Stegostoma tigrinum: one gene and its partner. The protein of the gene in region 1 interacts with the protein of each later gene in a biochemical or structural test. Links are inferred from orthologs where the notes say so. Each region holds a gene or a part of one and is shown on either strand. Other genes may lie near its edges. The genes, in order: magi3a and adrb1.

The links.
Region 2: the proteins of magi3a (region 1) and adrb1 interact in a test that uses a peptide from one of them, tested with the Homo sapiens proteins (2 studies listed by IntAct, with this or other methods). The link is inferred for Stegostoma tigrinum from reciprocal best matches to the Homo sapiens genes MAGI3 and ADRB1.

Annotation. Positions count from the first base shown.
Region 1 is NC_081374.1:3,665,287-3,681,819, forward strand, and holds the start of magi3a (membrane-associated guanylate kinase, WW and PDZ domain-containing protein 3a), read right to left. Parts: upstream 6,909-16,533; 5' UTR 6,818-6,908; coding exon 6,541-6,817; intron 1-6,540.
Region 2 is NC_081373.1:23,470,870-23,487,349, forward strand, and holds adrb1 (beta-1 adrenergic receptor), read right to left. Parts: upstream 8,271-16,480; 5' UTR 7,800-8,270; coding exon 6,567-7,799; 3' UTR 5,309-6,566; downstream 1-5,308. UniProt on the Homo sapiens protein: Beta-adrenergic receptors mediate the catecholamine-induced activation of adenylate cyclase through the action of G proteins. This receptor binds epinephrine and norepinephrine with approximately equal affinity.

The DNA of each region.
Region 1 (16,533 bases):
GTGACCTTAAACAACAAGACTAAGACAAATTCAAGATTTGTGGTGACATGTACAAGGGAATGAGCACCTTCAACAAGACTGAATTGAACCATCTCCCACTGACATTCAATGACACTACCATCGCCACTTCTTCCGGTGCAATTATGGATGGGCAATAAATGCAAGCATGGCCAGCAACCCTCAGATCCCATGAATGAAATTTAAAAGTTACCTGGCAGATTAACATCGAACTGAAACTGAACTGGATCAGCCATATCAATACAACTGCCATTAGAAAAGGGTCAGTGCTACTCACAGTGGCACTTAGTTCAAATGAACTGAGGCAATTTCCTCTCTTTGCGTTTCCCCAGTCCCAGTCCATCATCCAAAAGGCAGAAGTCACGACTGTGATAGAGTGTTCACAATTTCCATGGATGAACATAGCTCCAGCAACACAAAAACCACCCAGAGCAAAGCAGATGGCTTGAGTGGTACCTCATGCATCACTGAAGAACAGTGGCAGCGGTGTGTACCATCAGTAAGATGTATGAGGTGTACAGTAGCAACTCACCAAGGTTCCCCTGACTGTACTTTAAACCCCACATTCTCTACCATCTCTAAAGAGAAGGGCAGATGATGTTTGGGAGCACCACCACCTGCAAGTTCCTCTCCAAATCACTCACCATCCTGACTTGGAGAAATATTGTCATGCGTTCACTGTTGTTGGATCAAATCCTGGAATTCCCTTCCTGGCAGCGTTGTATATGTCCCCACATTCCGAAAACTGCAGTGGCTTATGAAGATAGCTTACCACTACTTTCTCCAGGACACGTAGGGATAGGCAATACATGTTGGCACTGGCAGCAACACCCACATCCCATGACTGAGTAAAAGAAACAAAAACATGACCAATTTGTATGCAAAATTTTGCAAATAGTCTAGTTATCACAGTGCTATCTGTTTAAACAATGGTGTTCAAGTGACAATACTTGACAGACACTTTCCCTGTTCCTCAAATTGTACTTTATGGATGTTGAAGGTCTCACAGCAATATAAATATTTTCTAATCAGCCTGTTGATAGATGTATTACACCTCGAGAGTAGGTGGAAATTGAACTCAGGCCTCCTGGCACAGAGGTCAGGACACTACCAATGCATCTCAACAGCCCTCAGCCGATAGAAATATAGACCTCACCCAAATGACGACACCTCCAAATGCACAATTTAAAAACTCCTGATACAGAAACAGACGACAGCTCTGCAAACAAGTAACATACTCTGGGACAGCCAACAGATTTACAATTATTTAAAAAATCTAATGTTCTGAGGGAATACTTAACATATGCTGAAAGTTTAACATCAAACAAGTCTCAGAAGCACACTGAACACCCAAGTGGATCAATTAGGGACCCGAGTAGTAATACAACTCCACACCCAAATAAGAATACCTGAGTTTCAAAGCAAGAAAGACCAGGATTCAATGAATTCACCTTCAACCATCCTGGTAGGCACATGAAACAACACGAGTTTGCTGACAGAACATGACCACTGCAATTAGTCAATGAGTCTACAACAGATCCAAATACAAGGCAAAGAAAATAACAGAAGATAGCTTTGGAAACAACTGTGCAAATTCACCCACTCTTTCAGTGCATTTCACTCAAACATCTTAAATTACTCAGTACAGATCTCAAAACGTTTTTTGAAAAAATCTTTGGAATCTATATTTTAAGTGAACCTGAATCAATTGATTATTGTCTCCCCAGGAAGCTATAATAGAACAATCATTCGTCCACTTAAATCACACAACCAATGGCTGCCCGATTCATACTGAATTTTCCCCATTTTAAGTGGAGGTACTGTGCCCTGGTTCTATTGTTCTAGCCAAGGTGAACAAGTTAGGTATGGAGGAAATTACCCAGTCCCTTCAGAATGCAAAACAACAATCTCATCATCTCTCAACATTCACGTCTGCAATGAGAATCTACATGAACATTCGAATTTATTCTCATTCCTCACTAAGTCTCCTGACAGATAGCAGAATCATACATTGATCCCATCATCTGCTCAATGGACAAAACCAATATTATCAAACCATTGGCCATCAGTTTACTACAGTGATGAATGGACAAAAGAGGTTTGTTCCCTACGTCCTTGTTCTCTCCCACCTCTATTCGCGTACTCCGGTGGGTGGGGGTATGGGGGTGGTGAGACATGTGAGAACAAATGTAACGAACTTCATGTCCTCAATGTGGATATAGAAGACAAAACAGGGCTCTCCCACCCAGACAGGAGAATGAAAACTGGGAATAATCCCTTTACAGCAGAGATGAGACAGCCAAACGACAGGCTGACAGAACCGCTTATTTCAAAGAGCTGTCTGACCTCAGGGGAAGATTGTCCAAAGACTAAGGTGATTTTTGGTAATGCTTATTACACACTGAAAAATCTAATTCTGTTTAAAGGTAAAACGTACACAAATGGTCTACATTGCACTGGCTGGAGATTAGCAGGTTCTTAACCAGAAGCAGAGATTTCCACTGCTTGAGTACACATTTACCCTATCATAAACAAAAACAAATTTGTTTCTGATTTCCAACATCTTGTCTGCTTTTTTTCTTAAACCCCATTGTCACAAGTTTTGCTGTAAAACAAACCAGAGTCAATGCTATAGCCCATCCATACCAAATACATAGAATTTTAACTTAGTATCCTAGTTAAAGGGCCATTTCCTGGTTACCATTTTTAAAAAGAAAATTGAAACTTGGATAATAGTTGATAACACACATCTGCCTAAGTATTGAGACAAGAAACTATCTTATCTTAATTGCTCATGGGACAAGATTACTAGCATGTATGGCACATAACTGCCCCTGAACTGAATTTGCTGAGGGACTGAAGTCACATGCAGATCAGATTGGGTAAGAATTGCAGATTTCTTTCCCTGCGGGTCATTAATGAAGCAGATGAGCTATTAGTATGTCAACAATAGTTTCATTGTCGCCATTCCAGAGTCTAGCTTTCAATTCTAGACTTATTAATGAAATCCAAATTCTACCAGACACCGTTATGGGATCGGAACTTATGCTGCCATTAGCCTGGGCCACTGGATTAAAAGTCTAGCAACATTGCCAATACACCTTCATCTCTCCCCCCTTGTAATATATAATTTCATTACTATATCATTTAATTCACTTTTCAGCATAAGACAAAGAATGTATTCTAGGGAGATTTTTTTCCTATTATTCCTGCATGGTCTTTCTGCAGAAAAGTACTGATCCTGCATCCAGCAGTTGACCATAGCAGATTGGTTGAGCTAAGACATGGTGAATTAAATCACTTCCACAAACTCAGTGCGACATCTCAGTATGTCAATCAACACTCGCTCATTGGTACAGTAGCAACCACAAGCAAGATAAAACATTTGTTCGATACATTGTTTAAGTACATAACCACTCAAATCTTTCTAACCATACATGTCAGTCTGTGTCTCCTCCCAGATCACTTGTTCACAATCCCTAGTGAACAGACTGACTTAGGGGTGCAAACTAACTCTAAACAAAAACAGAAATCGCTGGAGAAACGCAGCGGGTCTGGCAGCATCCATGGAGAGAAAGCAGAGTTAATGCTTTGGGTCCTGTGGCCAGAAGACAGTCCTGAACAGCCAGTGGACCCAAAATGTTAACTCTGCCAGACTTGCTGAGTTCTTCCATCAATTTCTGTTTGTGTTTTGGATATCCAGCGCGCGCAGTTTGTAGTTTTATCATTACAAAATCTTTTCTGTTTACTTCCCTTATTTGCTTCTCCCACTTTCTCTTCCATGTAGAGATCCTGTTATTTCAAATTCCTAGTAAACAATTTCCGATATTTCTTGCAGTGCTGTCTCCAAGATTTCATAGTCTTCCCCAGTTTATTCTCTTCCCACTCAGTCTTCAGTGTCTCATTGCTGCCTAGACCCTCTGCATTCCTTCATTCCCATTCACTTTTCCTCAAAAGCATTCTAACCAGTTAGCACTGCACGCTTCCTTTGACAACTATATATCATTCCATAATCAGTTCTCTCAGCCCTTCTCACCATGCTCCCTCTATCAAAACTCTAATCCCCAAAACCCCCACTATCTTTAAATCTCCCATCCAAACTCCCCCACTTTACACAGCCCTGTGCAAACCCCAACCCTCACTCAGCTTGAACACTAACTCCCCCCACCTCCAATTTCCCCACACACACTACCCTTCCCCACTCACCAGCCACCACAGCTGGTCCACTCCACTTAACACATCTCCTCCTTCAACCCCAAACCCACCCACTCTCCTTTTACTTCAACCTCACTACTCCATTCTCCCTCATTCCCCTCCCCAATCTAGCCCAACTTCACTTCTCCAATCCTTCTCACTACCCTACTCCAACCTCTGCTCCTCACCCCAGTCACTCACTCCCCAACTCCTCACTCCCATCAGCCCACTCCCTTGCCCCATCACCTCTCTCCTCCGTCACTGCCAGCCTTTCCCCTCACCTCCCTTCCCAACCCCCATTATTCCCTAAACTCCCTCCCCCTCCCTCCCACTCAACCCTACACCTCCATCCCCTCACCCCCCACATTCACCCAGCCCAACATTTTCCCCATGTCTAAGCCCACGCCCCCTCACCCCTTCACTACCCACCCCCGTGCCCGGCCCCCCCCCTCACCCCTTCACTACCCACCCCCGTGCCCGGCCCCCCCCCTCACCCATTCACTACCCACCCCCGTGCCCGGCCCCCCCCTCACCCATTCACTACCCACCCCCGTGCCCGGCCCCCCCCTCACCCCTTCACTACCCACCCCCGTGCCCGGCCCCCCCCTCACCCCTTCACTACCCACCCCCGTGCCCGGCCCCCCCCTCACCCCTTCACTACCCACCCCCGTGCCCGGCCCCCCCCCTCACCCCTTCACTACCCACCCCCGTGCCCGGCCCCCCCCCTCACCCCTTCACTACCCACCCCCGTGCCCGGCCCCCCCCCTCACCCCTTCACTACCCACCCCCGTGCCCGGCCCCCCCCCTCACCCCTTCACTACCCACCCCCGTGCCCGGCCCCCCCCCTCACCCCTTCACTACCCACCCCCGTGCCCGGCCCCCCCCCTCACCCCTTCACTACCCACCCCCGTGCCCGGCCCCCCCCCTCACCCCTTCACTACCCACCCCCGTGCCCGGCCCCCCCCCTCACCCCTTCACTACCCACCCCCGTGCCCGGCCCCCCCCTCACCCCTTCACTACCCACCCCCGTGCCCGGCCCCCCCCCTCACCCCTTCACTACCCACCCCCGTGCCCGGCCCCCCCCCTCACCCCTTCACTACCCACCCCCGTGCCCGGCCCCCCCCCTCACCCCTTCACTACCCACCCCCGTGCCCGGCCCCCCCCCTCACCCCTTCACTACCCACCCCCGTGCCCGGCCCCCCCCTCAACCCTTCACTACCCACCCCCGTGCCCGGCCCCCCCCTCACCCCTTCACTACCCCCCCTCACCCCTTCACTACCCACCCCCGTGCCCGGCCCCCCCCTCACCCCTTCACTACCCGCCCCCACCCCTTCACTACCCACCCCCGTGCCCGGCCCCCCCTTCACTACCCGCCCCCACCCCTCACCCCTTCACTACCCGCCCCCACCCCTCACCCCTTCACTACCCACCCCCGTGCCCGGCCCCCCCCTCACCCCTTCACTACCCGCCCCCACCCCTCACCCCTTCACTACCCACCCCCGTGCCCGGCCCCCCCTTCACTACCCACCCCGTGCCCGGCCCCCCCCTCACCCATTCACTACCCACCCCCGTGCCCAGCTCCCCCCTCACCCCTTCACTACCCACACCCGTGCCCGGCCCCCCCCTCACCCCTTCACTACCCACACCCGTGCCCGGCCCCCCCCTCACCCATTCACTACCCACCCCCGTGCCCGGCCCCCCCCTCACCCATTCACTACCCACCCCCGTGCCCGGCCCCCCCCTCACCCCTTCACTACCCACCCCCGTGCCCGGCCCCCCCCTCACCCCTTCACTACCCACCCCCGTGCCCGGCCCCCCCCTCACCCCTTCACTACCCACCCCCGTGCCCGGCCCCCCCCTCACCCATTCACTACCCACCCCCGTGCCCGGCCCCCCCCTCCACTACCCACTCCCGCGCCCGGCCCCCCCCTCCACTACCCACTCCCGCGCCCGGCCCCCCCCTCACTCTCCCGCCTCCCCTCACCCCTTCACTACCCACCCCCGCGCCCAGCCCCCCCCTCACGCCTTCACTACCCACCCCCGTGCCCAGCCCCCCCCACCCCTTCACTACCCGCCCCCCTCCCCTTCACTACCCACCCCCGTGCCCAGCCCCCCCTCCCCTTCACTACCCACCCCCGTGCCCAGCCCCCCCACCCCCTCACTACCCACCCCCGTGCCCACCCCCTCACTACCCACCCCCCCCACCCCTTCACTACCCACCCCCGTGCCCAGCTCCCCTCACTGTCCCGCCTCCCCTCACCCCTTCACTACACCCTGCCCCGTGCCCGCCCCCCCCTCACTCTCCCGCCTCCCCGGCCCACCCCTCACCTGGCCTCACTGTCCGCACTCGGACGGGCTGAGCGAAGTGCCTGATGACGGCCCGGACATCGCGGCGGGTCAGGCCGCTAACCGGGGTCCCGTTGACCTCGAGCAGGATGTCTCCGGGCCCAGGGCTAGGGCCGGTCTCGGAGCCGCTGAGCGGCGATGCCAGCACCGGGAACTGGCCAAACTCGGCCCCGCCGCCCAGCGACAGCGCGTCTCCGGGAACGGCCACCTCCTGGGTCCGGCTCAGCCAGTGCCGCCGCCGGCGGAGAGACTTCGACATTGCGGGGGTGGGGCTGGGCCGGCCTGGCCGTGCCCCAGCCTCCCCTGTGCCGGGTCTGCCGGTGTCTGTCCGCCGGGGTCAGTTTGTGTGTGTTTTGGGGGGGGGGGGGGGGGGGGCGCTCCCGCTCCGGGCTCCTGTCACTGACCGCGGGGCCCGACCACCACAGCCGCTGCTGCTGCCTGCGTCATTGCGTCACTGCGTCCGCTCGCCACCGCGACGTCAGGCAAAGGGGCGGGACACGCCTTGACCAATCAGAGCCCGCTTCCCCCCCCCGACCTGCCCACCCGCCCCCTTTCGACACCGCCCCCGAATGCCGGCCCCGCCCATAGACCTATCCATGCCCTACTCTTGCCGTCACTTTTATTCCTCGACCCAGTTACTGCCCATTGACCAGGGTGTGTGGTCACTGCCCGTTGACTAGGGTGTGGGGTCACCTCCCATTGACCAGGGTGTGTGGTCACTGCCCGTTGACTAGGGTGTGGGGTCACCTCCCATTGACCAGGGTGTGGGGTCACTGCCCGTTGACTAGGGTGTGGGGTCACCTCCCATTGACCAGGGTGTGGGGTCACTGCCCATTGACCAGGGAGTGTGGTCACTGCCCGTTGACTAGGGTGTGGGGTCACCTCCCATTGACCAGGGTGTGGGGTCACTGCCCGTTGACCAGGGATCGGGGGCGTAAGTGCCCATTGATCAGTGAATAGGGTTATCAGTGCCTATGGACCAAGGATGGGATCATTGTCCACTGACCAGAGCATGGGTCAGTGCCCTTTGAACACGGAGAAGAATCACTGCCATTAAGACTATAAGATATCAGAGCAGAATTAAGCCATCCTGCCCATCGATAATAGCTGATATGTTTCTCAACCCCATCCTTCTGCCTTCTCTCCTCAATCCTTCAGCTCCTTACTTACCATGAATCTATCTGTCTCTGTTTCAAGTACACTCAATGTCTTGGCTTCTACAGCATTCTATGGCAATGAATTCTACAGATTCACCACCCTCTGATAGAGGAGTTTCCACCTCATCTCAGTTCTAAAGGGTCATCCCTCCACTCTGAGGTTGTGCCCTCAGATTCTAGTCTCCCCTCCTGGTGGAAACAACTTCTCCAGGTCCAGTCTATCCAGGCCTCTTAGTATTCTGTAAGTTTCAATGATATGCCTTCTCATTCTCCTAAACTCCATTGGATAAATCAATCATGAAATGATCTGAGACCCACGTGCTAAAAGTTGTGTGTGTAGAGTATGTTACCCATTTCAGTCTCAGTTTTTATAACACTTGCCTATCACACTTTCAGCATCATTTCTTTTCCAACAGTCCTGACCTATCACATGATAAAAACAGTGGCAAAGCTGTGAGTAATTAATCAAAAGTCTTCCATGTAATACAGGCTGTCTGTAAGAATGCAATTCACATTAACATCCAGAGAACTATAGAACATGGTGAAGAACAGATGGATAGAAGATGTAAAGAGATATCAAAAATGATTACAATTATACAAACAAAAAATGCATTAAAAATACACAACGAATTTATAATGCATCTGTGATCTACAAACACAACAAAAGGTGCTTTATGGGAGTATTAGTAAACACAATACAAAACTGAGTCAACTAATCAATTTTGGGTTAAATGAGCAAAAGCTAGGTTGAAAGGGTTAATATTAAGAACTGTCATTAAAAAAAGAAGCAAATTAGTGAACCAAAGCAATTAATTGATTGACTTTATTCTCATGTGTACCAAAATGCAGTGAAATCTGAAAAATCTGGGATGTACAACATTCCTGTACTGGAGGAGTACTGAAATCTCAGAGGGTCTGGGATGGCAGATGACAGAGATAGGGAGGGGTGAGACTGTGGAGGGACTTGAAAAACAATGAGGCTTTTAAAATCACTGTGTTGTTCAACAGAGACCTGGTATAAATTGGTGATGGCAGAGTTCAGGCTGAATGGGACTGAGTTAAGTCAAAAACTTCTGTGCAGCTGAATTTTGAAAGACAGAAATTTTACAGAGGGTGGGACAAAGCAGTGCCATCAAATAGTCAAATCTGGAGGTAACAAAGGTGAGCTTTGGGATTTCAGCAGGAGAGTTGGGAGACGTTGTAGTATTGGAAATTGACAGAAATGAAATACAGAAATATGTGTAATATGTAATGGTGTCATAGTAAACAGCCACTCGCTAATAAGATTGGGTGTCCACTTCAGAAATTCTATGTCACTGCTCATGAGTTCTGTGGTTCCTTGTGTGGCTAACAAACCCAATCCTAGAGCCACTTCTCTGTCCACACATTTAGCAGCTGTTTCCTGGAGGTGAACCTGGTTCTTGGCCTGGAGATCATTGGCATTCCATTCTCCCATTACTTTTCCATATTTCTTCTTGACGACTGGTGTTCTCAAAGACTTGTGGCCCTTCGTACAGGAGCTTCATCCAGGTCAATTTCTTTTGAACGTGTGTCTCCTATGCATTGAAATCGATGTTGCATTTCTTGAGGGAGGCCTTCAGGGAGTCTTTGAAGCATTTCCTTTATCCCCCTTTCATTTGAGTGCCTTCCTTAGGCTGGGTGAAGATGATTGCTTTGGTAGTTGGAATTTAGGCATCCAAATACATGGATGGCCAATGCAGAGTTTGTTTCAGATGATCATGACATCAATGCTGGTATTTTTGCCTCCTCTAAGGGCACTAATATTAGTTTGTCAGTGCTCCCTGCTGATGTAGGGAATCCATTTCCAGCAACACTGATGGTACTTCTCCAGGGGTTTGAGGTGGTGTCTTCATATTTTCCAAGTTTCAGAGCCCTACAGAAGGTCAGAAGGATAACTGCCTAATTTCATAATGATCTTGGTGTAGGCACAGATATCATAGTCATTGAAGACTCTGATCCTTAGGCATCCAAAGAGAGCAGTCACAGATAGGATGCATTGTTGAATTCCCACATCAATGTCGACCTTAGATGACAGCTGGCTTTTCAGGCAGGAGAAATATTCCATGTTTGGGAGGAATTCTCCATTGATCTTAGTAGAGGGATGGACCAGAATTTGACCTGAGAAGAGTTGTTAAGGGATTTGAGGTTGACGTTGAGATCCAATTCCTCCATGTAATATGTAATGGTATACATAACACATAGAAATACATCTAACACTCATCAATGTTTGCCAGGGTTATTTAATGGTTAGGTTGTGCCAAATGCTGCAATCACATTTATTCTTAGTGACCTTAGTCCGCATCAATAAACATTTGCCTTATTCTAATAACTTTATACCCCTTCAAAACTGATTGTCCATCTGAGTGTGGTGACATCACACTAGGCTGCATTCAGCTTGTTATTGACACAAGTTTATACAACGAGACAGGGGAACAAGAACGCTGACCATAGCCTGCACTACACCCAATAAACAACAACACTCAGCCATCAGTTTGAATTGATGCAGTTTTTAATATTTATGTTCAAAATGCAGGAAATCATAGATTACAGAAACACATAATGAGACTGCAGGAACAGGTGTATGAGCTTTGATAGCACTAAGCACAAAGCTTGGGTTAATAATTACTGAACGGCACAAAGTTTAAACTGAACAGGTTGTTCCCTATTGCACTCTATTGCTTTATGTTTAGATTTGCACTCCTTGATCCAGTGTTACAAATGCGTCTAAACAACTATTGTCGTTTGGAAACTGAACGAGCAACTTCACCCAAGTTGTTGTGTGTTCTGTTGTTGGCGACGGTTTCAATGATTTATTTCACTCAGGTGAGGCAGGCAGCTTACAACTGACTGCATTGTAAAAATCCGCACACACTTGCATCGAGATCAACCATTAGGACATAAACGTTACATAGTGTTTCAATGCAGTACAACGGTGCAGTGTGTAAATACAGACTGTGACAGTGCATTGTGACAACGCAGCACATCAACGTAGCGTTGCTGTAAACTATGAAAATGTACTATCTCAGTGCAATGAAACAATGCAGTGTGTTAAAACCATACAACAGAGTGACAATGCAGTGTGAAGTGTAGTCTGTTAGTCCAGAGAGACAATGCAGTGCAACTGGGGTGTGACAAGACAGTGTGTCAGAGCAGTGTGACAGGGTAGTGTGAACTGCTCTGTGATAGTGACAATGAAGCACTCCATGTTGGTGTGACAATGCAGTGTGCCACTGTAATATAACAATGTAGTTTGACAGAATGGTATGTCAGAGCATCATGACAGGAACACTGCAGTTCAGAGGAGATTCACAAGATTAATTCTACAGATGAGTGGTTTGTCTTATGAAGAGACATTGAGCAGTTAAGGTCTATACTCTCTTGAATTCAGAAGAATGAAAGGAGATCACTTAAGGTAGCTGATACACTAAAGGGGATTGATAAAGTAGACATACAGCACATGTTTTCTCACGTGGGATAATCTAGAACGAGAGGTCACAGTTTTTGAATGAGGGGTAGTAGAATTTAAAATAGAGATGAAGAAAAATTACGTCTCTTAAAGGGTCATGAATCTGTGGGATTCACTCCTCCGGAATGCAGTGGATGCTGGGACATTGAGTAAATTTAAGAAAGAAGTAGAGAGATTATTAATTCCAAAACCTTAGAGATTATTCATTAGCAAGGGGGTGAAGGGTTAAGGAGAGCAAGCAGGAAAGCAGAGTTGAGGCCGAGATGAGATCAGCTATGATTGTTCTAAATGGTGGAGCAGACTCGAGGGGCTGAATGGCCGACTCCTGCTCCTTGATCTTATATCCTTATGACAAAGCACCATGTCTGTGTAGTGTCTCAGTGCAATGTGACACTGCAGTGTCAATGCTTTGATTGATTGAGGATTAATGTAAACTCAGCATACTGTAAAGAGCTCTTCTTCAAATAATGGTCACGGAATTATCACCATGTAAAGGGCAGACCAGCCTTCCCATTTCCCATCAGCTCAGAGAGAGCAGCACTTCCTTCCTCAGCACCTCACATAGGAATGCTGATCAACACTGGCTGGCTTCACATGAAAAGTGGAAATACTTGACTCAGTTTTTTAATGAGAGCTGGCTACAGACTCCGTTCCACAGAATACTGCTCACTGACTGGGAGGTAGTTGGTCTGTCATTGGAACCTCTGTCCAGCTGGTCAGTTTCCAGCTTTCAAATGCAACCCAGTCATCATCCATCTGCTGCTTCCAGCATTCCTGCTATATCCTGGAGCACACTTGAGTGAACTCGACACTCCCAACTCTGGCTGCTGATCCTGGATTTAGTCTCTAATAGTGCCTGTCATTTTGTCCTGGATTCCACATAGGCCACAGCTGGGGAGCTGGGGTGGGGCTTATAGGAAAGATGTTGTTAAACTGGAAGGGGTGCAGAAAAGATTTAGAAGGAGGTTATTGAGACTGGTGGGTTTGAGTTATAAGGTGAGACTGGATAAGCTGGGATTTTTTTCACCAGAGAGTTGGGGGATGAGGGGTGAAATTATAGAGGTTTATAAAATCATGAGGTGGGGGAGGCATAGATATGGTGAATAGCCAAGGTCTTTTCTCTAGAGTAGGGGAGAAAAAGAAAAGGTTCTCGAATCGGAGAAAAAGAAAAAGAAGAAGAAGGTTCTCGAATCGAAACGTCAAACTTTTCTGCCTCTCTGATGCTGCTTGGCCTGCTGTGTTCATCCAGCTTCACACCGTGTTATCTCAGATTCTCCAGCATCGGCAGTTCCTACTATCTCTGCAAATAATTGTGGCCAGTTTAGTTTGCGAACAAGGTCGGTATGGACTATTTGGACTGAAGGGTTGGTTTCCATGCTGTATATCTCTATGGCTTTGTGATGCTATAACTGGGAGCTAATGGTTCAGAGGGAGGGACGCTACCTGCTGCTTCTTGTGTCAGTGGCTGTATGCACAAATCTGGGCAATCAGGGGTGATTACTAGGGAGGTTTATGATAAATTGCATCCCCTTCAGGGAATTTAACATTTAAAATTCTTCCGTCACATGTTGGAGTAAAATAGGAACCTATCCAACCATTACTTTTATGAAGCAGATGATATGAAAAAACGTTGAAATATTCCTGTGATTTTCACGGCCCATTGCCAAGCAGGTGACTATTCTGCAGTCCTAAATTGTTTAAAGTTTAAATAACAAAGTTTAAAATTCTCTATTGCCAGGCCTCCTGTATTTCCTCATGGGATGTGGGCGTCGTTAGCTGGGCCAGCATTTATTGCCCATTCCTTGACCTGAGTATCTCACCCAACCATTTCACTGCCAAACATATTGCTGTGGGCCTGGAGTTATGTGTAGGGCAGCCAGGTTAACAATGACAGATTTCACTTTTTATCTCTGAGAGTGCAGCTCCTCCTTGCTCAGTACAGGATTCAGATCCAGATGAAGTTTTGATAACATTCAGCCAAATCTAATTCCAATTTTTATTGAGTTCAAATTTCAACATTTGCTGTGGCAGGACTCAAACCCAGAACATTAGCTGGGTCTCTCTGAACGAATAGCATTGTGACATTACCACTACACCACAGCTTCCCTTCATAACCATGGTGACACAGCTTTTTCACCTTAGGGAGACGCCAATCCTTGTTCCAATGCTGGTTCAGGGGCTTTCTCATAGTTGGCAGTGAAGGATCAGCCACAGATAAATATCAGAATAATAGGACCTTATCTTAGATAACCAGATAGAACTTATTTGAAACTATATATATAATCCTTGAAAGTTGCCACCCAGGTTGACAGGGCTGTTAAGAAGGCATACGGTGTTTTAGCTTTTATTAATAGAGGGATCGAGTTCCAGACCCAAGAGGTTATGGTGAAGCTGTACAAAACTCTAGTGCGGCCGCACTTGGAGTATTGTGTACAGTTCTGGTCACGGCATTATAAGAAGGATGTGGAAGCTTTGGAAAGGGTGCAGAGGAGATTTACTAGGACGTCGCCTGGTATGGAGGGAAGGTCTTACGAGGAAAGGCTGAGGGACTTGAGGCTGTTTTCATTAGAGAGAAGAAGGTTGAGAGGTGACTTAATTGGAACATATAAAATAATCAGAGGGTTAGATAGGTTGGATAGGGAGAGCCTTTTTCCTAGGATGGTGACGGCGAGCACAAGGGGGCATAGCTTTAAATTGAGGGGTGAAAGATATCGGACAGATGTCAGAGGTAGTTTCTTTACTCAGAGAGTAGTAAGGGAATGGAACGCTTTGTCTGCAACGATAGTAGATTCGCCAACTTTGGGCACATTTAAGTCGTCATTGGACAAGCATATGGACGTACATGGAATAGTGTAGGTTAGATGGGCTTGAGATCGGTATGACAGGTCCGCACAACATCGAGGGCCGAAGGGCCTGTACTGTGCTGTAATGTTCTATCTATTCTATCTATCTATACAGGTTACATTACATTGATCATTGAATCTTTAATGTGCAGAAACAGGCCATACAGCCCATTAAGTCCTAACCAATCCTCTGAAGTGCATCCCACCCAAACCACTCCCTCTAAATCCCTGTTGCTCTACATTTCCAATGACTAACTCACCTAGCCTACACATCCCTGGGCACTATAGGGCAGTTTACCATGGCCAATTCACCTAACCCACACATCTTTGGGCTGTGGGAGTAAACTGGAGCACCCAGAGGAAACCCACACAGACACAGAGAACATGCAAAGCCCGTGCAGGCAGTTACCCAACACTCGAATTGAACCCAGGTTTCTGGTGCTATGACGCAGCGGTGCTAACCACCGAGCCACTACGCCATCCACAATGATAACATAGAATAGTTACAGCACAGAAAGAGTCCATTCAGCCCAGCTGAATAAACCAACCACCCATTCTAGGGAAGGTGCTGGCCTAGTGGTATTATCACCAGATTATTAATCCAGAGACTCGAATGATGTTCTGGGGACTGCACTTGAATCACCGCCATGGCAGATGGTAGAATTTGAATTCCATAAAAACCTGGAATTAAGAGTCTAATGATGGTCATGAAACTGTTGTTGATGGGGATGGGATGGAGAGCCAACCAGCTGGTTCCCTAATGTCCTTTAGTGTTGGCAACTGCTGGCCTACATGTGACTCCAGACCCACAGACATGTGTTTGCCTTCTGGGAAATTAGGGACTGGCGATTTATGCTAACGCAACCAGCAACACCCACATCCTGCAAAAAAAATCCCCAAAAATTCCTACGTTCCAGCCCCTGGTCTGGGAGCCTTGTTGGTTCCAGTAGGTTCAGGGACCGTGCAGGCTCCTTTTTAATGAGTTGAGGGCTTCCATCTCAATCACCAAACCGTGCAACAAATTCCAGACACTCTCTGCCCTCTGGATAAAGCAGATTTTTCTCATGTTCCCCTTTAAACCTTCTACCGACAAACACGAGGTATTGAATGTAGCTCATGTCTCTCTGAATAATCGCAAAGGCACCTCAGGAGTTTCAGACAATCTGTCCAGTTGTGTATTTCATACACCAGTTGGTGGAGCTTCAACATAGCTCCGACGCTAACACTTTCACAGCCATGACCTTACTCAGCCTGTTCTCAAAACCTCCCTTAACAAAACTTGGCAGCTAACAATGCCCTGACTCCGTGAAGCATCTCCATCACTGGGGAAGCACACAGCTGGACGTCCATAGGCCACGTTTTCTGGAATCTGGGGATCCCAGGAACTCCTTCGCTGCAAGGTGTGTTGTTCAGAAATCTTCACAAGGGTAGAGAAGGATTAAGAGTCAAATATGAAACCGTGGAATATACCTCATTTTCACTTTAAAATGTATTCAGGATTCAGTTGCACCTTTGTGATGGTTGGCTGTGTATCTCCTTGACTGTAAGAAACCCAAGACAGAACAAATTTGAATGTTTTCCTTGCAATCACTATGTAACTGCACCACAACTAAATGTTGACTTTACAGTAATGTCTGATTACGTTTAGTTTACTTGTAGACCCGGGGCTAATTATAAGCCCCTTCTCCCCGTCATTGTATGGATGCCACCCCTTATAAAGACTGAACAAGTCACTGGATTCATCTGGTCTTGAAATGCACCCACAGGGAACCTCGCTTCCTCTTCCAATTCATATTTAACATACTTGCTTTCTCTCCACCTCAATATCCCACTCTTCCAGCAGGAAACTGGGAAAGCCACCAGTGGGGCAGCACATTGGGTAATCTCTCTGTCTCCTGAGGTAAGGGTGTAGAGTTACCAGCCTTGATGGGACTTGTACCTGGAGCTGACCTATGACCTCCAAACATCCCAACAACTTATTTACAAAGTGGCTGATGTGAGTATGGAATGAAGTGCCAGAAGAAGTGGTAGATGCAGGTACATGGATAGGAAATGTTTGGAGGGACATTGACCAAAAGCAGGCAAATGGGATAGTTCAGCTGAGGAAACTTGGTCAGGATGGATGAATTAGACCAATGGGTTTATTTCCATGCTGTATGATTCTATGACTCTAACTGACTTACTCATCTCCTTCCACCCCACCAGAACTAAGCAGAAAGCAGGCACATTTGATGATCTTTCACGGCCAGTCAAACAGGCTTTCTTTCAAATTTGCAATATTTTTAAAAATTCATTCATGGAATGTGGACCAGCATTTCTCACCCATCCCTAGTTGCCCCTTGAGCTGCAGTTCAAGTTGTGTAGTTAGACACGCAATGACCTTAGGGAGGGAGTCCCAGAACTTTGACCCAATGACACTGAAGGGACGGCAATATATTTCCAAGTCATTCAAATGCGGGAAATAGGAGCAGGACTGGGCCATTTGGCA
Region 2 (16,480 bases), on another chromosome or scaffold:
CAACAATGTGACAGCCCTCTGAAATGGCCAGCAAGCTATTTGATTACCTTCTTGAGGACAGTTAGGGCACAGGCAATAAATGCTGGTCTTGCTGGTGCTGTTCACAGCCCACAAAAGAATTTTTAAAAAAACTGATCTGTCTATCTACCATATCCCAGAAAGCATAGGTTTAAAGATTCTAAATCAGTGGGAAAAGCTATCACATGAACAATGGATTGGTTGGACCGAAAGGTCTGTTTCCATGCTGTATGCCTCAATGACTCCATAAAAATGTACTACTACTTTAAAATGAAAATGTGCTTTCTGGGATATGGTAGATAGACAGATCAATTTTTTTTAAAAATTCTTTTGTGGGCTGTGAACAGCACCAGCAAGACCAGCATTTATTGCCTGTGCCCAATCAGTGGGAAAAGCTATCACATGGGCCAGCATTTGTTGCCCAGAGGGTAGTTGGGAGTCACCACATTGCTATGGATCTGGAGTCGCATGTGGGCCAGACCAGATATAGATGGCAGTTTCCTTTCGTAAAGTATTAGTGAACCACATGGGGTTTTTTGACAATCGGCAGTGGATAATAGTCATCATTTGACTCCTAATTTCAGATTTTTTAAAAGAAAATTGAATTTAAATGACACCATTTGCCATGGTGAAAGAATATTAGTGCACCACATAAATCTTTGTGACAATGTGGTAGTTTCATAAAAGAATCCCATTACTTTGTTCATGTGATAGCTTTTCCTTGATGATCAATTTTCTGTGAAAGCAGGGTCTGTACTGTTACTGGATTCAGATGTCTGCTGTTAGGAAAATCTTTATGGTGCACTGGCTTATTTGGTTGTGATGGACTGACTGAAGTTTTTTTTATTCATTAATGGGATGAGGGAGTTACTAGCTGGGCCAGCATTTGTTGCCCAGAGGGTAGTTGGGAGTCACCACATTGCTATGGATCTGGAGTCGCATGTGGGCCAGACCAGATATAGATGGCAGTTTCCTTTCGTAAAGTATTAGTGAACCACATGGGGTTTTTTGACAATCGGCAGTGGATAATAGTCATCATTTGACTCCTAATTTCAGATTTTTTAAAAGAAAATTGAATTTAAATGACACCATTTGCCATGGTGAAATTCGAACCCAGAACCACAGAACCTTACCTGGGGACCTGGGAGTGATCCCTGTTGTGCCATTGGACATTAAAGCAAGCTGCAAGGTTAGGCATTCACCATGATGTCCCTGTTCTGGCACTAACTATTGAGTCAAAGTCTCGGAGCTCTCTCTCTTATTGTTACTGGGAAGCAGGTGTACCACATGGACTGCAGCACTTCGAGAAAACTGTTCACTGCCACCTTCTTGAAGGCAATTAGAAAGTGCCAGAAAAGGCCATTGTTAGAAGAAGGAATTTAAAAACCATTCATAGTCACAGTAGGAGGAGCTTGCAGCCTTCTTAAAGGTAGTGTGATTTTACCCCCAAAGTTATATTTATGCTTGTTTTCTAAAAATAGTGTTACCCTGTGCCTACCTACCCTAAATTAGCTTCTACATTTTTATTCTTATTTTCATTTTAAAGTAGTAGTACATTTTTATGGAGTCATTGAGGCATACAGCATGGAAACAGACCTTTCGGTCCAACCAATCCATGCCAGTCATAATCCCAAACTAAACTAGTCCCACCAGCTTACTCCTGGTTCACAGCCCTACTCATTTATCCACCCAAACATCTTTTTAAGAGTTGTGATTGCACCTGCATCCACCACTTCATCAGGAAGGTTCATTCCACATGCAAAGCACCCTCTGTGGGAAAAAAAATTGCCTCATCGTTTTCAAATCTCTCTCCTCTCACCTTAAAAATGTGCCCCCGAGTTTTGAAATTCGTCAATTTATGGAAAAGACAACAACCATCAACTTTATCTGCACCACTCATTATTTTATAACCTTCTATCAGGTTACACTCTGGTGGAAGCAATCCCAGCCTATCCAGCCTTTTCTTAGAATTCAAATCTTACACACTTGGCAACCATCAAATCTCCAGAACCCTCCCCAGCTTGGTAAGATCCTTCCTCTAAATGGGCAACTAGAACTGGACACAGTACTCCAGAAGAGGCCTCACCAATGTCCTGTACAACACTCCAACTCCTATACTCAAAGGTCTGAGCAATGAAGGTGAGTGTGGCTAATGCCTCATTAACCATCCTGGCTATATGTGAAGCATACATTAAAGAATTATGTACCTGTACCCTAGATCTCTCTGTTCTACAACACTGCCATTGATTGCATAAGTTATTTCCTTGTTTGTTGTACTAAAATGCAATACCTTGCATTTATTCAGACTAAGCTCCATCTGGCCTTTTCAACCCATTGACCCATTTGCTCAAGATTCCTTTATAATCTTAGAAAATCTTCTTCATTGTCTACAATGCCACCAATTTTGGTGTCATCTGCAAACTTACTAACCGTACCTTCTATAGTCACGTCAAAATCATTTATATAAATGGCAAACAAAAGAGGACCCAGAAGCAATCCCTCTGGAACACCGTTGGTCACAGGCCTCCAGTCCAAAAAGCAACCCTGCACCATTACTGATAATGGGAACTGCAAATGCTGGAGAATCCAAGATAACAAGGTGTGAAGCTGGATGAACATAGCAGGCCAAGCAGCATCTCAGGAGCACAAAAGCTGACATTTCGGGCCTAGACCCTTAACGTCAGCTTTTGTGCTCCTGAGATGCTGCTTGGCCTGCTGTGTTCATCCAGCTTCACACTTTGTTATCATCCACCATTACTGTCTGTTTCCTGCCGTTAAGCCAATTATGTATCTAATTGGCAAGCTCACCCCAAATCCTATGTAACCCAACTACTAATTAGTCTGTCATGTGGAACCTTGTCAAAGACTCAAGTCCAAGCAAATAATGTCTACTGCTCTGCCATCATCAACCTTTTTTGGTAACTTCCTCCAAAAACTCAAGTTTGTGAGACATGGTTTTCCTTGCAGACAACCATGCTGATGGTCTCTAATCAGCTTTTGCCGTTCTAAATGTCCATAATTCCTAGCTTTTATAATCATCTTCAACAGTTGACCCACAGCCAAAGTCAGACTCATAGGTCCACAATTCGCCGGTTTCTCTTTATAATCGTTCTTAAACAAAGGTACAACGTTAGCCATCCTCCAGTCATCGGGCACTTTGCCTTTCCACAAGGGGCCTCGTAATTTCCTCGCTTACTTCCCACAACATTCTACGACACATTTGATCAGGTCCTGGAGATTTATCCACTTTTATATTCTCTAAGACCTCCCGAACATCCTCTTCTGTAATATGAACTGTTTTGAAAACATCAAAGTTTATTTCTCTGCGTTCTCCAGACCCCGTTTCCTTCTCCACAGTAAGAACTGTCTAATGGTGGTTCAATGATGTATGAGTTCAGAATAGTGTCAGCGATGTGGTTTCCATTCCTGCTCCTGCCTCCTTATCTTGCCAACCACCCCCCTCCTCGCCCAGAGCAAGGATAAACCACTGCTGACAAAAACTGCCAGGCCACAGTGGCTAGAATAAGGCTTCGGCAACCAATGAGCCAAGAAACTGCCTGGGGCAGAGTACACGGGCGATAGAATTGAATTGGTTCCTGCAGAAGCTCGTTGCAGCGCTGATGGTAGCGTTACCCGCTCCTCAGGAGCTCTGTTCGAAAATGCCTGTGTCAAATTGTTGATGGAACTACAAGGGGGGCGGTACAGCAACGCGAGGCGGCTTGGGAGTCACTTTTATAATCTGCTTTACATCCAATGCTAAACTGAGGCACTTCTGTAACCCTTTTAGTTTTCGATCTTTTCAAATATTGCATTACATCACACGCAAGTCAAAATGGAAAATTCTAAACTATTTTACTATTAAACTAAATTCTAAATTCTAAAGGGGAAAAAAGAACTGGCGTGCCGTTTTCGAAGTGGACTTTTGGAATATTTTGTCATCTCTTAACTTTTAAAACAATTTTCCTGACTCGTGGGAAATGCGGCTCTTCTATCTGCGTTTTGCCACTGTTGAGCTGTGATGGGAGGTTGGTGTATCCAATTGGCAAGCTCACCCTGAATCCTATGTGACCCAACTACTAATTAGTCTGTCATGTGGAACCTTTCCCAGTTCATTTTGCTGCTGTTTGTTCATTAATCAGTTAGGAATGTTAACGCTGCCAAACAAGCAATAAATTTTAGCGGTCGCGGAAAGCAATATTAGTACATATCCTCACAGTTGTTCTGACTCAATCTTTCTGAAAAATAAAACAGCATGACAGATATTCCAAGATAATAAAATGTGAGGCTGGATGAACACAGCAGGCCAATTCCAGCGTTTTCATTGAATCCCTACAGCGCTGAAACAGGCCATTCAGTCTAGCAGATCCACACCGTCCCTCCGAATAGCATCCCACTCTTACCCCATTTCTAACCCACCCAACCTAAATATCCGTAGGTACTATCCCATAGCCAGTCTACTTTGGGACTGTGGCAGGAAACCGGAGCAAACCGACGCAGACACGGGGAGAATGTGCAGGCTTCGAGAGTGGAATCGAACCCGGATCCCTGGCGCTGAGGCAGCGGTGCTAACTTCTGAACCACCATGCCTCCCTTTTTGCACCATCTCCAGCTGAGTGGGTGATCCATCGTGGTTTCCTACTGAGTTACTAATGCCAGTCTTCTGCCAATTTAAATTCACTCTCAATGATAGAAAAAGGAAAACAAAATAGCGCGGAAGGGGGCTGTTGTGGTGCTGTGGTAACGTTCTATCTCTGAGCTAGGAAGCCAAACGTGTATCATTACAGCTTTGAACAGATTGATTAGAAAATAAATAAATTAGCGTAAGATCGAGCTATGAACCGTCCCTGATGAACTTGACGAGTGTAACGCAGTTTTGGTAATAATATGTAAGCCAGACTACTGGTTTCAACGTCGGTTAAACGTGGGCATTCCGAATGTAACCTGAAGCCGGCAATAACCTGGTCTTATTTTATCTCCAGCGAGACCAAAAACATGCTGTGACATTTGTAAGGAATTATATCAGGCTGGAGGTAGGCATTGGTTAAAACTTGTACACCATTTCTTTCACTCGAATAACCTGCTGCTTTTTGCATTTATGTACATTGCAAACTTAAATGATACTAGAAATTAAAACACCCACAGAAACAAATTACGTGCACTGAATAATAGTTCTTGGGAACAGGCCTGTGATGTGAATGACAGTAGAAGCGCGAGCAAGCACTGCTATCAACCTTTTGGAGTAAGTTATATAAATGTACACGTGTAATGTTAAATGATGTTTATTGCACATATACCAAATATCCACACATTTTATTGAGCCACATTTTATATAAATATGTGCGAGAAAGCAGACTTTGTGACAAATACATCACACAGCTGAACGTGAATTTCATATCGAGTGGGTGGGGAAACGCTTTTTTGGCTTATCAGGCAAACATTGCAGTACATCACCATTCGACACGAGTACCCTTTTCTGCACTCCGATGCTTCATTTTCGAAAGCTTACCCGGAGTTTTATGTTTACTTGGTTCTATCCATACTAAGATGCGCTGTAAAATATTCACCAATGTTAACAACGTGCCGCACATAATCTTCGTACTGAGAAATACCAACTTTCCACACTTAGGAAAGTGCAGGTGAAGTTGGTCCTGTGTGGAATTTAAATTAATTAAATAAGTAACTGACCCCTATTCATTCAACTTTTCTACTGGTCAACTCTGAGGTTGCGTGTCGCTTTGTCTATTTTTAAATATATAAAATGCGATTTGTTTAATATAAACAATGGTTGATATAAATAGATCTGTACACAATCTGTACAGCTGGAGGTAGTGTTATTCAAAACACAGTCTTACAGTGAGAGAGAGCGGTTTCACGAAATTGGCAGCAACACCTGGATCCATGTCTTGCTCCGAATGTCCACTCCTATACGAGGCGTCGGTCACTGACAGATCATTGACCAGCTGTTAGAAAATCTGAAATATTTTGTTTTAGACGGTGGACCTTTGTTTATTCAAATTGTTTTAAAATGAAACTTGTGGTTTCTCTTTAACATAATCCAAAACGTTGAAAATAATAACACAATGACCTTAACGACCCGTTATTTTGGGGACACGGCGATTGTTCATGTAACCGAGAGCTCCTCTTTAATCCACGTTGGAAATTGCCTCTGACCATGGAATGTGATTTAAGCGGGACACACCATTCTTGTTGCAAAACGGTGGGCTGCTGTTTCGTCCGATGAAAGTCAGCGCATCCTGGCAAAGCGTGTCCGCTGCTACAGTCTAGGATCGCTCCGAATCCAAACCTTAGTGTTAATCTACGTTGGCCTTCCGTTCTCCAGAATTGCGGGGAACGATCGCTTGCGGCAGGAATCCACCGCGGAGTTGGTCTGTGCTGGGTTTCAATGCCTGTTTCCTACAATACTGAGTGGGTGTGGGACCGCTCGCCCGCACTCACTGCTCTGTCTTCAACGCTTTTTTTTGTCTTCTCCACGGAACCTGAACGTTTCTGTCTGAGAAGCTGGACTTGCTGCCCGCACTCCACCCGCGCTAGAACTGGGACTCCTGGTCGTCAGGGTTCTCGCCCATGTGCCTGTCCAAACCGCCCCCGTTCGGCTCCTGGCTCCTGTTCCATTCTGACCATGTCTCCAGGCTCCTCGGGTCCAGAGTGTTGCCGAACACGCCCGAACACCGGGAGAACTCCCCGGAGCCCGTGCACAGCCTGTTACTGTCTGTCTGGCCGGGGCAGAACAGTAACCTCTTAAAGGCGGCTCGGAAGTCTGGACTCTTGCAGTAAATGATGGGGTTGAAAGCTGAGTTGACATAGCCGAGCCAGTTGAAAAACAGAAAGAGTTTGCCGGGCACGATGTCAGTCCGGAAAGCCTTCGCCACATTGGCTAGAAAAAAGGGTAACCAGCACAGGGTGAATGTTCCCATAATAATCCCCAGAGTCTTCAACGCCTTGTGGTCCTTAATGGCTATAATCTTGGAGGGTCTCCTGCGAGCTGACCTGCCGTTTGGGATGAAGTGACTGGTATAAAACCTGCCCTCGCACTTATCAATCTTCTTCATTTGCTTCTTGGCTTCTTGAAAGACGCGGGCGTAGACGAAGATCATGATGACTAAAGGCAGGTAGAAGGAGATGATGGAGGAAGCCAAGGCGTAGGCTTTATTCGTGACAAAGTCACAGCAACAGGGGTCATTGTAACAGCGGATGGCGTCGGGTTGGTCATCCCTCCACCAGTGCATCATGATGGGCAGCAGGGAGATGAGGCCAGAGATGAGCCAGACCACACACACGATGGCCCGGGCTCGGGCTTTCGTCAGTAAGCTCTGGTAGCGGAACGGGGAAGTGATCGCCACGTAGCGGTCGATGGCGATCACACACAAAGTTTCGATGCTCGCCGTCACACACAGGACATCGACCGAAGTCCAGATTTCACAGAAAACCGAGCCGTACAACCAGTTACCTCGCACGACCAAGGTCGCCCCGAAAGGCACCACCAACAAGCCCATAATCAGATCTGCACAGGCCAGAGACACAATAAAAACATTGGTTAGCGTCTGCAGCCGCTGGTTCCTGGCGATGGCAAAAACCACCAAGAGGTTTCCGAGGACAATGATCAGGACGATGCTGGCCATTACTGTGCCCATCCCTATCACCCACTGCTCAGAGAACTCTTGCTGAGGCACGTGTGGACTTACCCCGTTTGCAGGATTAACAAAGAGGATGGTGCTGGATTTGTTAGTGTGACAATCCTCAGAGGACAGGCGGTCTCCCATTGTGTAGAGTGCCGCTGACCGAGCCAGGAGATCACGTCGCTTTCATCGGAGATTGTCCCCGCAGATGCTGTGTGTGGTGCTGTCCTCCTTCATCCTCTGGCTGTGGCGGCACCAACAACCTGTAGCTGGGGGGTCAGAGCAGCACAGCGCCCTCCCCTTTCACGTCGCACACAGAGTTCCTCCAATGAGCCTCTTCCTGACGCCACATCTCCAACTTCCATTTAGAGAGCATTAACTTCAATGAGGGTGCCCTGAGTGCAAGTTAAGGGAGAGAGGAAAAAGATAACTTTTTTCCCCCAATCAGTTATCTCTGGTATATATTTTAAAGCAGCTTCTGAAATCCTGGCGAAAATACCTGAACTTTACAGAAACACGAGACTGGACTAATCACAATGTTCATTTCCAAACGTTTACCCCACTGGGTCTTTCCTTTTTTATTTAGTTTTGAATTCACGTGGATTAATGTGCTGACAACCACTCGGGGAGTGACGGTAAGTCCCTGTAAATATTTTTGGGGGGCCAGGAATAGACTGTGCTGCTAGCTCGAATTTCAGTAGCAGTGGAAGAGGTCCCGCCCAGTTCCATATCAGAACTGTTTGAGAAGATTATCTGCAGTTCAGAGAACGTACACCCTGCTGTGGATTTAGAACTCGGAATGGATCCTGAGGTCGCTGACTGTTCACAAGTTGCTAGTCCCTCATTCTGCTTTCTCACTCAAACTAAAACTACACTTCAGACCTTAAGCCATTTAACAGGAGGATTATCTTATCACAAGAAAGTAAATAACCAAAAGGAATTAGGTCCACGAAGCCCATTCTATTCAATATACCATGTTCAATTTACACTTTTATGTACATTTTTATTTAAGTATCTAATAAAATGTTAATAGAATTCCCGAAACTTTATAAAACTATGAAACTTACTTTAAACCCTGAGAATGAACAAGTGAAAGATTATTTTCTTATTGATAGCGTCCGATTTTCAACCCTGACCAATCGTATACCGCAAAATGCATTTCTGTGACAGAGACCACATCACTTATTCCTGAGAGTGACAGAATCAATCAGAACTGAAGGGGTCTATTGGAGTCTGTGCCAGGTCTTTAAAAGAACTGGACTGGTATTCCTCAGCGTTCGTCAACTTTTACTACTGAAGTATTCATCCAGTTTTTTTAAAGTGGTTGTTTGACATTGCATTAAACATTTTTGATGGCTTATTCTGTTGAAAGGGACAATATCTTCTGTTCCTCTGACTTACCCTGCAACCCTGCCAATTCTGCATTCGTACTCTCATTCTCTAATTACTTCAAATACGTAATTCACTTACATCTTTGCTATTAATCTTTTGATGGGGGCAAGTATGCTTCCAATATTTTTGGAATGAGAACTAATTTAGTTCTGGTTCTTTGCTTTTGGCGTGTTTAGATTTCCAGAAAGAAATGCTATATTGCCCTTCTCCAAACAGCCTTAGCTCACTCAAATTTCACTGCACCAAAATGTTGCACAATATTCCAAGTAAAAGTACCAGACTACAATGCAGGATAACAAAAAAAGGTTTTACTTTTTATTCAAGTACATTGACATGTGTCCCAGAGCCTTTTAAAAACTTTTATGTATTGACCTGGCTACTTTTGTTAATTGGCTAACAGTCCCATCCAAATATTTTTTGTTTTTGGTATTTCCAATGAAGCTCATCTGTTTTATCAAAATTGTCCCTGGCCAAAGATGAGTCAGAATATTCCAATGGCTATTGACTGGGTGACCAGAGTAGTAGAAATTTAAGATGCACGGTTAGACAGATGAAAAAAGGATGGTGGAAATAAAACAAATATTCACACACTGCCCGTAATATTTGCTGAAACGTTCTACAAATTACTTCACAAGTGGAAAGTTGTTTGGAAAAGTGGTGTAAGGAGGAATAAGAAATAAGGCATCTCAAGTAGAGAAAAATGCTGATCTAGATACTCGGACAGAATGGTCTTTTATTTTGTAGTGACATTACAGAAGGAATACCCATTAAGTTTCATCAACAGTCATGCATTCCCTTTCAAAACTTCCGATATCTTTCGAACAATTCTGGAGTCCATATTTGAATCAATTAAAACCTAATTAAAGTGAGTCCCTTTGAAAAAGAATGACAAGAAGAAAAATACCTGAAATAAAATAACACTTGAAAATGAAAAATAGTTTCCCAGTTACTTTTTTCAGATGTATCATGTTTATAGGCCAATGACATTCTGGTTGAGAAACTAACAGTTAATCATGGGATCATGTAAAAACTTTTAAAAGTTACTTCATAGTTAAGATGTCATTTCTCTGCCCCTGCATAATGCATAGATGCCATTGAACTCTCATCAAATTTCTCCAATATTGATCACTTTAACATCTAGTTTTGTGTTATCAGTAAATTATGTACTAATCGGAAAATGCTCCACATCATTTGTAAATACAGCAGGGGAGCCAGTATAAATCTGCAAGGTGTTGTTATTGGAGCTCAGTCCGGATTTGTCTATGTGTCATTATTTCTTCATTTTACCAAGAAGCCAATTTCAGCTTGCAGTTAATTCAATGTCAATTCATCTTCCATTGCAGCCTATGAAACAAAATGTCATTATGTTGCATAATGGCAGGACAAAAACATTGTTTGCACCAGAAAGGAATCCACTAATGATTTCAGAACTGTCTAAGGTATGGTGTGCTGAGTACTCTTTTATCCTCCATGTTCTTGAAATTATGTTTTATACAGTAGTGACTTAAATCGACAATCCCTTTCAATAACGCTCATTCTCACCTCTCAGAACAAGAGATTTTGCAGCTGGTCAACAAAAGCTCTGATCAGAAACTGAAATGCTTGACTCATCTATGACTCAACACATGATACAGAACTCTTGCAAGCTTTTGTTTTCACTTTTATAGCACTAGATGTTTATTCTAGTTCTGTTTTATGATGTTTGTCTTGTTCAAGTTACTAAACACAACTTATTAATGTTATCCATGTTTGCAGTCATCTAAATACTTTATTCATGTCAATGTTAACTGTAATTGCAAGGATAACACAATACCTTTTAAGCCCTATATTTTGAATTCCAATCATATCTTTCACAGGCAATAATTGACACATCTTAATTGTATGGTAATCTCATTAGAATTTAAAAATATAAAAATAAATAAACAGTTCTGGAAATATTTCACTGCCTCCCATACCTGCCTGTTAACTCATTCCATGCTGTGCTGCCTCCTTATCCCAGCTCATTTAACATAAGAAAGAGGTGTGAGATATCTATTTTTATTGTGTCAGTGAACCTGTTGACTACTGTTGAGTTCTGTATCATTTACAGATTGAATTGTACATTGCCGTTTTCTCCTGTTTATTTTTTTGCGCTTAATTTTCTGGTTCAGGTCATCCATGCAGATAGCAACTGCAATAGAGTAGATCAGGGTATATATTAGATCTTTCCTTTTCCAATCATGAATTTTTTTTCTCAAATTCTACTGTATATTTAGAAGTTTGAATATGTACTGATAATTGAACAATTGCAAAATGACAACTTTTGAATTAGGTGATCTTAAAATTTTTTTTGATATTTCTGACTCTTGTGCAGTATACACTGGGATTGAATACCATATTTTCTTTCTAAATGTCTTAAATAATTTAAACTGATAATGTATTAATCAAACTATTTTGGACCATATATATCCTATTGTTTTCAATATTTTTTCCCTGAATTCTGATGACTGTAATAATTTTGTACCATATTTTTAAAACTGTTGTTTTAAAATAATCTATTTGAGGCACTCTAAATAACATTGAGGAAACTCAGAGCTTTGCACCTGTATTGATCTATGGCAAATAAAGTTCAATAGAGAAAAATGTCATTTACTAAAAAGAAACAAACTAGCCAAAGTGGGAATTTAAAGAGATCAAGAGATTTTAATTATTTAGACATTCACATAAACTGTGGAATGTAGTATTGTTCAAGAACAACATTATATGCCAAATTATCTTGAGTTTAAATCTGCAGAGACAATCAGAATAATTTCTTTATTTTGAAATTGATCAGAATTGAAAGAGTCAACCAAGGCAGGAAGCATATTTAAGGCTGGCCACTGGAATTATTTAAAAAAGGACAACGTGAAAGCATGTCATGGGACATTGGTAAGTTTGATATTTCAAAGGAGAAGATCAAATAAGTGGAATAGAATTCCTCATCTGAATGTATGTGGGAAATATTTTCTAACATGTTTAATTTAAACTTGTATTCTTGGTACATATTGTTTATTCTTCAAAAACACAGAATTGTTTATAAAGCAGTTTAGGACAACATGAGATTATCAAAATCAATTTATATGTTATTTGCATATAGATAATTGCAAGTCTTCTTTTTCTACTGAATTGTGAATGTCCTAGTTATGGGTCAGATGATAGATGTTGTCACTCATTTGAAATTATAATTAAAACATTATAATTAAAATATTTTCTCCAAAATGCATATTTAAAAGAGATTATATAAAAATCGTCCACTCGTATTTATATTTGTATGACAATTCTTGCCGGACAATGTAATCAGTAAATTCAGAGGTGGTGAACAGCATTTGCTTTGGAGGATGATACCTGTCTGTGTTTCTTCAGTTGTGTCGAATGATAATATATGAAATGGTTAATTTGAGATAATTGTAATTTATGCAGAATTGTCCCAGTGTTGCCAGTGATAAGGAAACAGAAACATTCCTTTCTGCTAGCTAAATGTAAAGTAAGTTAATACAGCCACTGAAATGCATTTGGAGGTAAGTATAGGGCAGCATGGTGGCTCAGCGATTAGCACTGCTGCTTCACAGCACCAGGGACCCAGTTTATATTCCATCTTCAGGCGACTGTCTGTATGGACTCTGCACGTTCTCCCTGTGTCTGTGTGGGTGCCTGTGTCAGAGGGGCTGCTCCAGTTTCCTCCCACAGTCCAAAGATGTGCAGATTAGGTGGATTGGCCGAGCTAAATTGCCCATAGTGTCCAGGGATGTGCAGGCTAGGTGGGTTATCCATTGGAAATGCAGGGGTACAGGGAAAGGGCAGGGAAGTGGGTCTGCGTGGGATGTTCTTTGGATATTTGGTGTGGGCCAAATGGCATGCTTCCACATTGTCGGGATTCTATGCTTCTGTATACTGAAAAAATGACTTGTAAGGAGGTCTGTAATTGTACCAGAGAATAGGAAGAACAAGTACAACTGATGTGTTGGGAATCACAGTACCATTTACCTAAACATTGTGTGACCCTTAACAATCTTACTAAGCATGCGTCATAATGAAGAGTGGAAACAAAGTTAGAACTTGCTGAAAAACTCAGCAGGTCTGGCAACTTCTGTGGCGAAAAAGCATAGTTAATGTTTTGGGTCCAGTGAACCTTCTTCAGAATTGACACTTGCTGTTTTCTGAAGAAGGGTCCCGACCCAAAACGTCAACTTCCCTGCTCCTCTGATGCTGTCTCGCCTGCTGTGTTCCTTGAACTCCATATGTTGTTATCTCTGACTCCAGCACCTGCAGTTCTTACTATCTCTGCTGTTACTTGCTGACCAATGCTGAAGAATTGTTACTGGACTCCAAAGCTTAACTTTGCTTTCTCTCCACAAATGCTGCCAGACCAGCTAGGTTTTTCCAACAATTTTTGATTTTTGTTTCTGATTTCCAGAATCTGCGGTTCTTTTGTTTTATCTTCTTAAATGAGAGCAGGAACGTCTGCTACTTCCAGCAGTGGAAAACAGGATGGGGTAAGGTAACGTAGCTGGGCAAGGAGACAAAAATAACATTCCCGCCAACAGGATGAAAGTCAGCATTTACAGTTTTACAATTTTAAAGGCAGGTTCAGCTTCTTGAAGGCAAGTGTCAGGGAGCCTTTTGTGTGTCTAGCATGCTTATTAACAGGCGAGCTCAACAGAATTAACTTGTCCTTCTCAAATAAGTTTTAAGAGTGAACTTTACGTATCTTCAGATTCATGGCTGTGGAAGTAGCATGCAGAAGGTGTCATTTTTGTGACCTTTAGTGTGAATCACATCTTCTTTCACTTATGCCATGCCTTGGCAGTCAATGTTACAGAGGGTCACTAGATGATGACCAGGGGAGGGTGGAGGCTGGAGCGGAATGGGTGTTGGTTAAGGACACTGACCAAGCTCAGAAGGCTGACTGGAGAAGTGTGAAAGAGTCAATGTTTAGCTGCAGACTGAGAACCCAAGTGATGTTCCTGGCTTGTAGGGTGTGAATGCCCTTCCAGGTGCCTTTCAAAAATGACACCAAGGTCTTCAACCATATAATGTAATGGCAGGGGCGTTGACGTGCTGCCTGCCTCACAGCAAGGTTATCCACGCTTCTCACACAACAACATGCACTGCACTGACAGCAGCATAATCATGAAACGGTCCTGAGAGGAAATCATGTTTTCTTTAGTGCTGGTCTGGCAGCATCTTTGGAGGGAATGCGGAGTTAACTTTTGGAGTCCAGTAACGATTCTTCAGAACTGGTCAGCAAGCAACAGCAGAGATAGTAAGAACTAATATTTCAGAATGGAAGATTCTACCTATGATGTCAAAATGCAAAAGAGTCTGACAAAATTTATGTCTAAACTTGCATCAAAGTTCCTACTAATATTTAATATTTTATTGGAGTAATGATGTTGTCCAACAAGTAGTGTGTGTTATTTTTCTTTTGTCTATTAAATTGTAAAATATGAAAATGTTTGCGACTTTTAAATTACTCAGATATTGATTAATATAAACAATCTATTTCAAAGACCTGGACATTGTAATGTCTGTAAGACTTTTGGCATTTTTCATCATCACTTTCTGAGTACAGGAGCAGGGATGTGTTGTTGCATTTGTACAGGGCCTTGGTGAGATCACACCTGGAATATTGCGTGCAGTTTTAGTCTCCTTTTCTGAGGAAGGTTGCGCTTGCTCTTGAGGGAGTGCAGCGAAGGTTTACTAGGCCGATTCCAGGGATGACGGGTCTGACATACAAAGCGAGATTGACGAGGGTTGGATAACAAAGTGTGGAGCTCGATGAACACAGCAGGCCAAGCAGCATCTCAGGAGCACAAAAGCTGATGCTTCGGGCCTAGACCCTTCATCAGAGAGCTGATGAAGGGTCTAGGCCCGAAGCATCAGCTTTTGTGCTCCTGAGATGCTGCTTGGCCTGCTGTGTTCATCTAGCTCCACACTTTGTTATCTTGGATTCTTCAGTATCTGCAGTTCCCGTTATCATTGACTAGGGTGGGGATTGTTTTTGCTAGAGCGCAGACGAATGAGGAGGGATCTCATAGAGACGTATAAAATTCTAACAGGGCTGGACAGAGTAGCTGCAGAGAGGATATTCTTGATGGTGGGTGTGTCCAGAACCAGTGGTCACAGTATGAAGATTTGGGGTAGACCATTTAGGAGGGAGATGAGGAGACATTTCTTCATGCAAAGAGTGGTGAGCCTGTGGAATTCATTACCACAGGAAGTAGTTGTTGCCAAAACATTGAATGTATTCGAGAGGTGACTAGATATAACACTTGGGGAGAACGGGGTCAAAGGTTATGGGGAGAAAGCAGGATTAGGCTACTGAGTTGGACAATCAGCCATGATTGTGAAGAATGGCAAAGCAGGCTCGAAGGGCTGAATGGCCTCCTCCTGATCCTATCTTCTATGCTTCTGTGTAACTAAAATCACGTCTTTGTTAAACCTGGAAATCTCAAAATTGCTGTAGCAATTCTTCTTTTCTCCTGTAATGTCATTATTTTTTTAAAAAACAAGAAGTTACATTTTGTTGATGAAATGTAACTGAGGGCTGAATCTTAACAGAATTTGGCCACACGTAATTCTGGTTGAGTTTCATGGAAAGTTTATCTCTGCAAGACCAGAATTTTCTCTCACAGCCATCCCAAATTCACCTCATCAACTCGGCACCATACCTCAGTGATGCCCTGCTCATCTGATAACCAGCCGGTTTCACCCATTTACCGTAGGCAGAAGTCGAGGTCTTAGAGGGTAGTCCTTGTCTTCCAGTAACTATCCTTGTAAGGCATCCAGCTCTTGACACAAAGCATGGACAGGAGAGTTCTCAAGGACATAGGCATCAGGGCATCTGCTGCAAATACTTTTAGGACGTGGCAGTAATGGACACAGATGACTTGCAAATTAATGTATTGGCCTCTTTTTACTGATAACTCAGTGCACCATCTCAATGTGATGTGTGTTCAGTTTATTGCACCTTACCCCAGTGACAAACCAAAGCCTGCAGCTTGGGCTTACAGCACTAATCTCACTGTGGGGAAATGAGATTGAATAATGTGATCTGGCATCAAAGGCATCAGTAACAACGTTGCTACATTTGTGGGTGGATCACTGAGAAATCCCACATAGGGTCCAGGTGGATCATCAGAAGCAGTCAGTCGCATAGAAGTTTAGTATATCTGTCACCTTGACAACCATTGAAGTGGGCTGGTCATCCACCATTTCCCACCCCACGTCTTGCTCTAGCAGTGGTAATGCCTCTGGATACCCACAGTCTGCACATCTGTAGGAAATAGCAGACTGAACGCTATTTTCTGGGCATCGTGTACACCCTGCAAATCCTGAGGGGACCTTCAGATGCACCCTCTCCTTGTGGAGGCTATTTGGCAGATGCTGGATGTTGCTGATGATCCTGGGTTTGT